2 linked regions of the Canis lupus familiaris genome follow. The protein of the gene in region 1 purifies or fractionates together with the protein of each later gene. This does not show direct contact. Links are inferred from orthologs where the notes say so. Each region holds a gene or a part of one and is shown in the gene's direction. Other genes may lie near its edges.

The links. The genes of interacting proteins can lie anywhere in the genome.
Region 2: the proteins of KIF5B (region 1) and KLC2 fractionate together in Homo sapiens (co-fractionation; 7 studies listed by BioGRID and IntAct, with this or other methods). This does not show direct contact. The link is inferred for Canis lupus familiaris from reciprocal best matches to the Homo sapiens genes KIF5B and KLC2.

The regions. Positions count from the first base shown.
Region 1 is NC_049223.1:12,714,241-12,718,869, forward strand, and holds part of KIF5B (kinesin-1 heavy chain), read left to right. Parts: intron 1-66; coding exon 67-283; intron 284-811; coding exon 812-942; 3' UTR 943-962; intron 963-4,629. UniProt on the Homo sapiens protein: Microtubule-dependent motor required for normal distribution of mitochondria and lysosomes. Can induce formation of neurite-like membrane protrusions in non-neuronal cells in a ZFYVE27-dependent manner.
Region 2 is NC_049239.1:51,545,134-51,549,786, reverse strand, and holds the start of KLC2 (kinesin light chain 2), read left to right. Parts: upstream 1-1,471; 5' UTR 1,472-1,588; intron 1,589-1,594; exon of another isoform or gene 1,595-1,740; intron 1,741-2,433; 5' UTR 2,434-2,480; coding exon 2,481-2,708; intron 2,709-4,653. UniProt on the Homo sapiens protein: Kinesin is a microtubule-associated force-producing protein that plays a role in organelle transport. The light chain functions in coupling of cargo to the heavy chain or in the modulation of its ATPase activity.

The DNA.
Region 1 (4,629 bases):
AAATGTTGATATTTTTCAAATCATCCTGTTAAAGCTAAAATCCTTATTGTCTTAATGTACCTTTAGTTGGTACGTGATAATGCAGATCTTCGCTGTGAACTTCCTAAGTTGGAAAAGCGACTTAGAGCTACTGCTGAAAGAGTGAAAGCTTTGGAGTCAGCACTGAAGGAAGCCAAAGAAAATGCATCTCGTGATCGCAAACGCTATCAGCAAGAAGTAGATCGTATAAAGGAAGCAGTCAGGTCAAAGAATATGGCCAGAAGAGGACATTCTGCACAAATTGGTTAGTAGAATACCTTAAAACCATTTAAACTTTGCTTGGTTTGAATGTTTTTACTTACTTGAAAACAATCTAATTGGTGATTATGTGTTGTCAAGTTGGTATTTGTCTTTATTTCTAACTTACCAAAGAGTGGCATTGTTGCGAATAACAAGCAAAATGAGGAATAGCCACATTTACAGGACAAGAAGATAAGTAAGAACTAGACAAGCATGCAAGAGTGATCAGAAGAGGTGAAACTATAGAGATGAGTATTCTTAAAGACTGACTTGCAAGAAAATAAGTTGCCAGGAGTAATATGACATGCTTCAGAATAAATCATTCATACAGGAATAAGGTTTTTAAGAGAATAGGGATTATATAGGTCCTGGAGAAAAAGATACAACAGAAAAGAGAAGACTTAGTAACAGAAAGGCAAAAGGAAAACCACATTTGGGAATTCTTGTGAATCGAGAAGAGACGTCTCCTAAAACATCACTACAATCATGTGTTAAGATTTATCCTAAAGTCACTTTTTGTTCTTCATGTTAGCTAAACCTATTCGTCCCGGGCAACATCCAGCAGCTTCTCCAACTCATCCAAGTGCAATTCGTGGAGGAGGCGCATTTGTCCAGAATAGCCAGCCAGTAGCAGTTCGAGGTGGAGGAGGCAAACAAGTATAATCTTTACACGTTACCCACAGGTTCGTAGTTTATATCTGGCTTTTGAATCATAGTTCTACATGGAAATGTTCAGCCATTGGTTGTTAAATACTACTTTTTTTTTGGATTCTCATATTAACTGGGTTCTTTTTTAATGTATGTGATTATAAAAATAACTTGGCATGATTTCTTTTGGTCTTTTTTCATAGTTCAGATCATACTCTATTTTCAAATTTGTGTTAACATTTGTAAACTAACCTACTGGATTATTTTTCAGAGCTCTTATAGTTAATCTAATAGATATACACCATGGATAATTATTCCCTTTTATTAGACATAGGATTAATTTATGTCAATTTTTTCTCTACTTAATATAAAATGTCTCACATTTCAAATTTCATATATGGAAATTTCAGTTTGGAAAATTTCAAGTGTGAAATATCTTTGTGTCCCCTCACCTTTTAGGTTATTTTTAGATTCCCAGAAGTGAAATTACAAGAAAGCAGAACATTTCTAAGGCTCTTGATACATGTTAATACACTGCTCTCCAGCAAGATTAGGACAGATTGCCTCTTAGACAAGGATACTGTCCATTATTATTGTATCATTGCCAGCAATTAATATTGATTGATAGTTCTTAAGCTTCTGTTTTAATGGTCCAAAATAAGTATCTCTTTGATTTATTAATAAGAACTTGAATTTTTTTTCAAAAAACTTACCACAAAGTATGAGATATATATCATCCAGAAATACCACCCAATATATTATGTATATCTTTCAGGTGCTTTCTTTGCATATTATGATTTTTAAATTAATCTTAAATTATTGAATACTCTAATAATATACTATTTTAGTACATATGTTTCTTTGTAGCCTGCTTTTTAATTTTTATTTATTTTCTTAAAGATTTATTTATTCATGAGAGACAGAGAAAGAGGCAGAGACATAGGCAGAGGGAGAAACAGGCTCCTCACAAGGAGCCCAATGCAGAACTTGATCTCAGATCCCAGGATCAGTCTTTTTTTTTTTTTTTTTTTTTTTCCAGGATCAGTCTTTAAACCAAAAAGGCAGACACTCAACCACTGAGCCACCCAGACGTCCCTAGCCTGCTTGTGTGTTCTGAACATTTTCTTAAGCAGCACAACTAGTTAATTAATAAGCTGCCTAGTATTTCATCATAGAGCAGAAACTCTGGTTTTTGTGGTTTAGAAAAGTCCCAGATACTGTGCTTTGGATACTAAAAATACTAAAATAATTATGATGGTTAACTGTTTCAGACAAATACTAAAGCAAGATGCAAATAAACTGACTTTTTTTACTTTGACATATTGAGTAAGATTGACTCTAAGTTTGAGTAGAGAATTAAGCAATATTCTGAAGGAATCACATTTCCCAACAATCTAATGAAATTTTTTGTCCACACAGCATAGGATTTTAAAAGAGAGTGACATTGTGAAAAGAATATAGACACTGGAGTTCCATCTAAGTTTGAATCCTAACTTTTCTACCTCCAGCAAGTTACTTTTTTAATATTTAATTTCTTTCTTGTTTTGACTCCTTTTAAATTAAGCATGAAAACAAATTATGTATTTATGGTCTAAAACTAATAATTTCTATAAAACAACTTTTTTTCCATAACCACAATAACAGTATTGTACCTGATATTATAATAATATTTTATCTAATTAGATAATTAGTATTATCTTAATACATACTCAGATTTCTCTAATTTTTCCCTCCCAGTCCTTAACAGCTGGTTTACCTAAAACCAGCGTATAATCCGCAACCACTGTTTACATTCTGTTAGATCTCCTAGTTCTCTTTTAATTTAGAAAAATTCCCCTTTTTAATGACATTGACTTACTGAAGAGACTAGGCCAGTTATCTTGAGCATGTGCTTCCTCTGGATGTATGTTGTGTGGTAGCCTTGTTCCTCTGTTTCCCATATAAGGAAAGCATTTATTAGATGGAGCATATCATTTTTAACAAGACTGTCAAAGTAATAGGTGTTTAATCTTGTGTTACATATAGTAGATAGTTTTCCTGCCAATTAGAGATGGCCTCTGTTTTTCCCCATTTGAAGTAATGGCTTGTTGAGCCCCTTTGTGAAATAAAAGTTACTCTTGAGAATTATACAAGCTAAAATGTTGTTACCTAGGACAGAGCAGGTGTTCAGTAGAGGCAAGCTGTCTTTTCTGGAAGTGTAAGTGAGCAAAGGGATTTTTAAAGCATAAATATAGGTACAGATAAAAGTTTATTCTTTTGGGGTATTGTCCTCACCTCACATTAGAATTCATGTGTGGGGGCACCTGGATGGCTCATTTGGCTAAGCATCCAATTCTTGATTTCAGCTCATTGTCATGATCTCAGCGTCATGAGATCAAGCCCCACATTAGGCTTCATGCTCAGTACAGAGTCAGATTGAAATTCTTTCTCTCCCTCTCCTACTCCCTCCACTTTACTTGTGTGTGCGCTCGCTCTTTCTCTCTCTCTCTCTCAAAATCTAAAAAAAGGGAGGTGGGGATTCATGTGTAACCTTTGAACTCCTATCTCATTTGCAGAGAGGATAGACCAGGGCCTTTTGTTAAATATAACTAAGTTGTAGCATTTCACTGATCCCAGTGTAGTGACAGCTGTTCAGCACATGAGGGAGATAGCTAACCTAGCCAGACTAGGTTTTTAAGACTTGAAGTAATTAACTATAAAAGTATAATTAATTACAGGTTTGTTTCATTGCTGATCCAAAGGATTGTGGTTTTTAGTTTTTAAAGCCTTACATCAGTCAGTCTTAAACCATGATTGAGGAGTATATAAGCCTCATTAGTTATAAGTTGTTGGAAAATTAAATAATATGTAGAGAAACTTTTAAATTATTTTTTAATTATCAAGCAAAACATTTCAAAAACACTGGGTTTGTTTCTGGGAAGATAAAAATGTATGAATAATATTGATTCTTTTAGAACCCAGTTTTATATGGCTGGTCTTCTGGCTTGCATAATACCTTGACAAGTTGAGTTTTCCTAAACACATAGGTAAATAGTTTAATACAAGGTTGCCCCTGGGTAACAAGAGCTGGAATTGCTTATTTCACTGTTACTTTTCTTACTACGTGTACCTCTTATTTATACTATCCCTCTCCCCCTCCCCCACCCCGACTTTTGTTTTTTACAGCTATCAGGAATATAACATTGCTAGATCATGGTCTTTGGCTTAAGAATGTCACTGACTGTTGACTTTCATTTTATTAACCGTCTTTTTTTTTTTTTTTTTTAAACAAAATGTAGGGATGCCTGGGTGGCTGAGCAGTTGAGCATCTGCCTTTGGCTCAGGCCGTGATCCTGGAGACTCGGGATCGAGTCCCATGTCGGGCTCCCTTCAGGGAGCCTGCTTCTCCCTCTGCCTGTGTCTCTGCCTCTCTCTCTCTCTCTCTCTCTCTCTCTCTGGGTCTCATAAATGAATAAAATCTTAAAAAGAAAAATGTAATTCCTACATAGGCTCACTCATAACTCTCTTGGGGAGAATAAAAACAAAGGACTGACGTTTTAAGCATTATACTGTTCATAACTCTACTCAGAAGCTAAATATAAGGAAAAGGGATCAAATCATTTAATATTGGCATCTTTTTAATTTGAGAGAAGTGGCTTAAGCTGTTGGCTAAAGTGTCTCTAAATATATTGGTATATTTGTTTCATTCTCATTATTTCAAAC
Region 2 (4,653 bases), on another chromosome or scaffold:
CTGGAGGAAACTGGAGCAGGAGTGGGTCATGGGATAGGGTTTGTCAGTCCAGGCAAGGAGAAGACGGGGTAGGGGGATCGTGGAGGTCTCCAAATATCTCCATTGGAAAAAAAAAAGAAACTGTTCTTCCTGAAGATAGAACTTCAGTTTGGTGTCCGTGAGCACTGTAGGAAGGTACTTTTTGAGCTAAGGGAAAACGTCTTAACCTTTAGATCAGTCTCACAGCAGAAGTAGTGAGCTTACCATAGGATATACTTGACCTAGGGATGTAGGACCATGTCTCGGTCAGAGACGATACCAAGGAGATTCTTGCATCCACCAGGACACTTAACCTGGTGGACTCTGAGTCTGAACCCACCTGGATTCATGAGTAACACATAGGTACCAGTGCCAGGCCTTGTCAGATTTTGTCCCTCAGGTGATTATCCTGTTGTCACTAATGACATCGACCTAGAAGCAGTGGGGGCAGTGCCAGAATAGCCACTAACCCAGGGCTGCAGAGCGTCAGACCAAAACCGGGGCTTGGAGGGGATTTGGCAACACCAGTAAGTGCACTCTCCCACACTTTTTTAAAACCAACATTTACTGAGTGCTTCTTTGTGGCTGGCCAGGGGCTACTGTGGGAGTCAACGAGGCAGGCAGGTCTTGGCCTGCACTTTAGGGAGGAGACCGAAAACCAACAAGAAAAATATTAGAAGGGATAAGCGCTAAAGAGAGAAACAGGTGCAGGAGGGGACTTTATGGGAGGTCAGGGATCAAAGAAGGCTTTCTGAGGAGGTGACGTTTATTCTGAGCTTGGAATTACGTCACTGCCTAGGGTATCTGGTCAACAAATAGCACTTGTGGTGTTGACCCACAGGGGCACGGGGTTCGGTTTCGGCAGATGCCCAGCTGCCCTATGCCCACTTTTTCTCCGTTAGGGTCAAGAAGCATTTCTCCCAGGAAGCAGCATTAAGATACTGCGAATCCCACAGGGGCTTAGACAGTTCTGAAAGTTGGTTGAGGGGCATAACCAGTCCCTAGAGACAAATGAGCCTGGGGTCAGATATTCGAGAGGCGGATAATAGCAGTGCTCGCTTTATTGGGTCTTTGTGGGCATTAAATGAATAGATGCACTTAAAGCATCAAAGCGCCCGACACACAGTAAATGCTCAGGAAGTGGTAACTACCTCGTTAAACATCAGTAAGTGTCAAAAGTCTCGCTCTGGACTCGTTAAACATCAATCAGTAAGTGTCAAAAGTCTCGCTCTGGACTCGGAAGAGGCCAGGCCTCTTCCTGCGCCTGGGTTTCTCCCCCTGTCCTCTGGCCGCAGCACTGGGTGCACTCAGGGTTAGGATCTCCCGAGCCTCTCCACACCCCTGAGGCCTCGGGGCGGTGCACAGTCGAGGAATCCGAGGCCGCAGGGACGTGGGTGGTGGAGGCTTGGAACGGAAGCCTCCAGGCAGCCCACTACCCGCCCCTCTGTGCCCCGCCCCCGCGATGGCCCCGCCCCCTCCTAGCCCGAAGCGGGCCCGGCCTGCGAGCTCCTTTAAGGCAGCCTGAGGGAAGAGAAGAGCGTGTTTTGCCCCCTCCGACGCCGCCGCCGAGGTAGAGGCTTCACCTTTAAGGCGGCGCGAGGACTTCTGGGAAGGCCGGCGGGATGGAGGCGGCGGGACCGGCTTTCGGCTGCGGGTCCGGGTGAAGCGGGGCGGGAGCCGGAACCTGAGCAGGACCCGGGCCGGAGCCTCTGGGAGGCGTAGGTCCGCGCGGGCCGATACGGCCAGGAGAGGGGCCCCTGGGTCGGCCTAGGGGACGGTCATCATGGGCGCAGCGTGCGGGAGAACAAGGCCGGCCTGCTGGGAGGGGGCGCGGTCCTGGGTGGCCGGGGGCGGGAGCTCGGCCTTTTTAGGGGAGGGGTCCGCGGGGCGTCGCGTCGACCTATGGGGAGGGGTCATTGTGGGCGCGGCCTGGTTGGGGGAGGATGAAGAAGCCGAGATTTCGAGGCTTCTCTAGGGGGAGGGTCTCCAAATGGTCGGCCTTCCCTAGAGGAGGGGCTCTGTGACTCGGCCTAGTTGTTGGGGAAGGGGCTGCCCGAGGGCTTGGGGCTGGATCTCCTAGAAGGGCTGGGGTCTCCCCAATGCGAGTGAGCCTCCATGATCCCCGTAGGACCGCCCTCCAGCGCTCCCCGTCCTGACTAAGGGAGTCCCCGGGGAAGTCCCGAGGCTGCCGCCTAAGCCGGCCTGAGCGGGTGGTCTGGGCCCAATTCGAGTCCAGCCTCACCGGCCTCACCGCATTGCGTCTCCCCGGCCGAGGCGAGCTGGGCGCGCCCCCTGCAGGCCGAGCGCCGGCACGGCACGGGTTGCCGTCTTGGGGACCCAGGCACCCTGGGGACCCAGGCGTCCGGGGACCCGAGGTGTTTACCTAATCCGGGGCGGACGGCGGTGTGGCCCCAGGCCCGGCACCCGCCTGCCCGCCCCCTCGCCCTCACAGGCGGCACGCCATGGCTACGATGGTGCTTCCGCGGGAGGAGAAGCTGAGCCAGGATGAGATCGTGCTGGGCACCAAGGCCGTCATCCAAGGCCTGGAGACCCTGCGCGGGGAGCATCGTGCCCTTCTCGCTCCCTTGGTAGCTCATGAAGCTGGTGAGGCGGAGCCCGGCTCACAGGAGCGATGTGTCCTCCTGCGTCGCTCCCTGGAAGCCATCGAGCTGGGTCTGGGGGAGGCCCAGGTAGGCTGGTCTGGGATGCTGAGGTGGGAGGTAACGGGAGGGATGGAGCCTTCCAGAGGAATCCAGGCAGAGTAGGAACAGAATCTGAGCAGGGAACCTGCGGCCTCTGGAGCCCATGGTAAGACCCCAGATCTGATGAAAAATGAATGAGCTTTGGAAACCCCAGCTGAGTGCCTTGCCTCAAGAGAGCCTGATCATCCTTTAGCCCCCACACAGAACCCTGTTCCTGGCTTCTCTGATGGGTAGCAGAGACTGAATGGCATAGGAGAACAAAAAGGAAATCCTTAAGAATCGCTCCTCCCCACCCCATTCATTCTCTTATTCATTCCTTCACAGGTAAGTTATCAAGTGCCTACTATCTGCCAGACCGTCTGTTATGTGCTAGAGACACAGGTCCAACAAGAGAGTCAAGATCTCTGCCCTGGTCCACTGGGGAGAGAGTAAAAAACACACATATGTTTGTTACATGTTGTGGTAAATTGTACAAAGAGAAGAATAAGATCTTGTGATAGCTTATAGCAGGAGGTCTTATTTATTGGTCAGGCAAGAATTCTGAGGAAGTGACATTTAAACCAAGACCTGAAGGAGGGAATGAACGGGCCTCCAGAAAAGGGAGAGAAGCAAGAGGTTATATGTGCAAAGGTCCTGAGATAGGAAAGATCTTGTTGTGGTAGGAGAAATGAGAGAAGACCTAACTAGAGCTTCCTGGGGGAAGGAGAGGGACAGAAGAGGCCTTTGGAAAGGCAGGGGCCAAATCATACTGTACCTTAGTAGTTTGGCTTGTATTCTCAGAAAAGCAGGAGGCCTTTGAAGGGTTTCAGTAGTTAAGAAACACAGTAAGCCTTAGGTTTTATTTTTTTAAAGATTTTATTTATTTATTCATGACAGACAGACACAGAGTGAGAGGCAGAGACATGGGCAAAGGGAGAAGCAGGCTCCATGAAGGGAGCCTGATGTGGGACTCGATCCTGGGTCTCCAGCATTAGGTCCTGGGCTGAAGGCGGCGCTAAACCACTGAGCCACCTGGGCTGCCCAAGCCTTAGATTTTAAAAGCTCTGTCTGGGGGCGTGTGAATGACGCAGTAGAACATGTGATTCTTGATCTCAGAGTTGTTCGAGCCCCATGTTGGGTATAGAGATTACTTTTTGTTTTAAGTCTTAAAAAATAATAAGTACTCCCTTTGGCTGAGGTGTGGAGAATGAACCAGAGTCAAGGGTGGAAGGAGGTAGCAGGTGGTTAGCAAGTCACTGCTGGAATTCAAATGGGAAATGGTAGCTTGGACTACAGAAGTGGCCAGGAGGGAGGAGAGAAGGGGCCCAGTTCCAGATATGTCTGGAGGTGGGTCCAGCAGGACCTGGAGATGGAGTAGGGGGGAGAGAGGAGGGCAAAGTAACTCCCAGATGTGTGGTTTAAACAAATGAAGGGGACAACAGAGCCTGGATGATCAGGGGTTCTGTTTTGGACCTCTACGTTGGGGCTGGGAGGATGGTGTGCAGATGGAGATATTCAGAAGGCACTGGGGTGTATAAGGAGTACACACTCTCCGTGGGAGAGCCTTGGCCCCTTCAAATCTTGGCTGAGATGCTGCCTGGCTCCATGAATCCTGGACAGTTGGTATCATCTTGGTTTCCTTGTCTTTAAAATAGGGATCATGCCATCTGCTGTGTATATTTCCAGGCTGTTTAGGGAGTTTTTTAAAAAGCTAGTGGTTGTGAAAACACCTGTCACTTACACATTTGCTAATCAACTAGAAAGTGTAGGGTCCCAGACAGCCTGGCCCTCTGGAGGGCAATGTGCTGGTCATTCCGTCCTGGGCTAGTTGGCTGCCAGGTACAGAGATAAACACAGGGGTTCCCCTCCTAGTGTGCAGAGGCACCAACACAGATGGGCAAGAGGATGACATGGATGGAAAGTGCCCTTCTTTCCTAGGGCTGCAGAAATGACC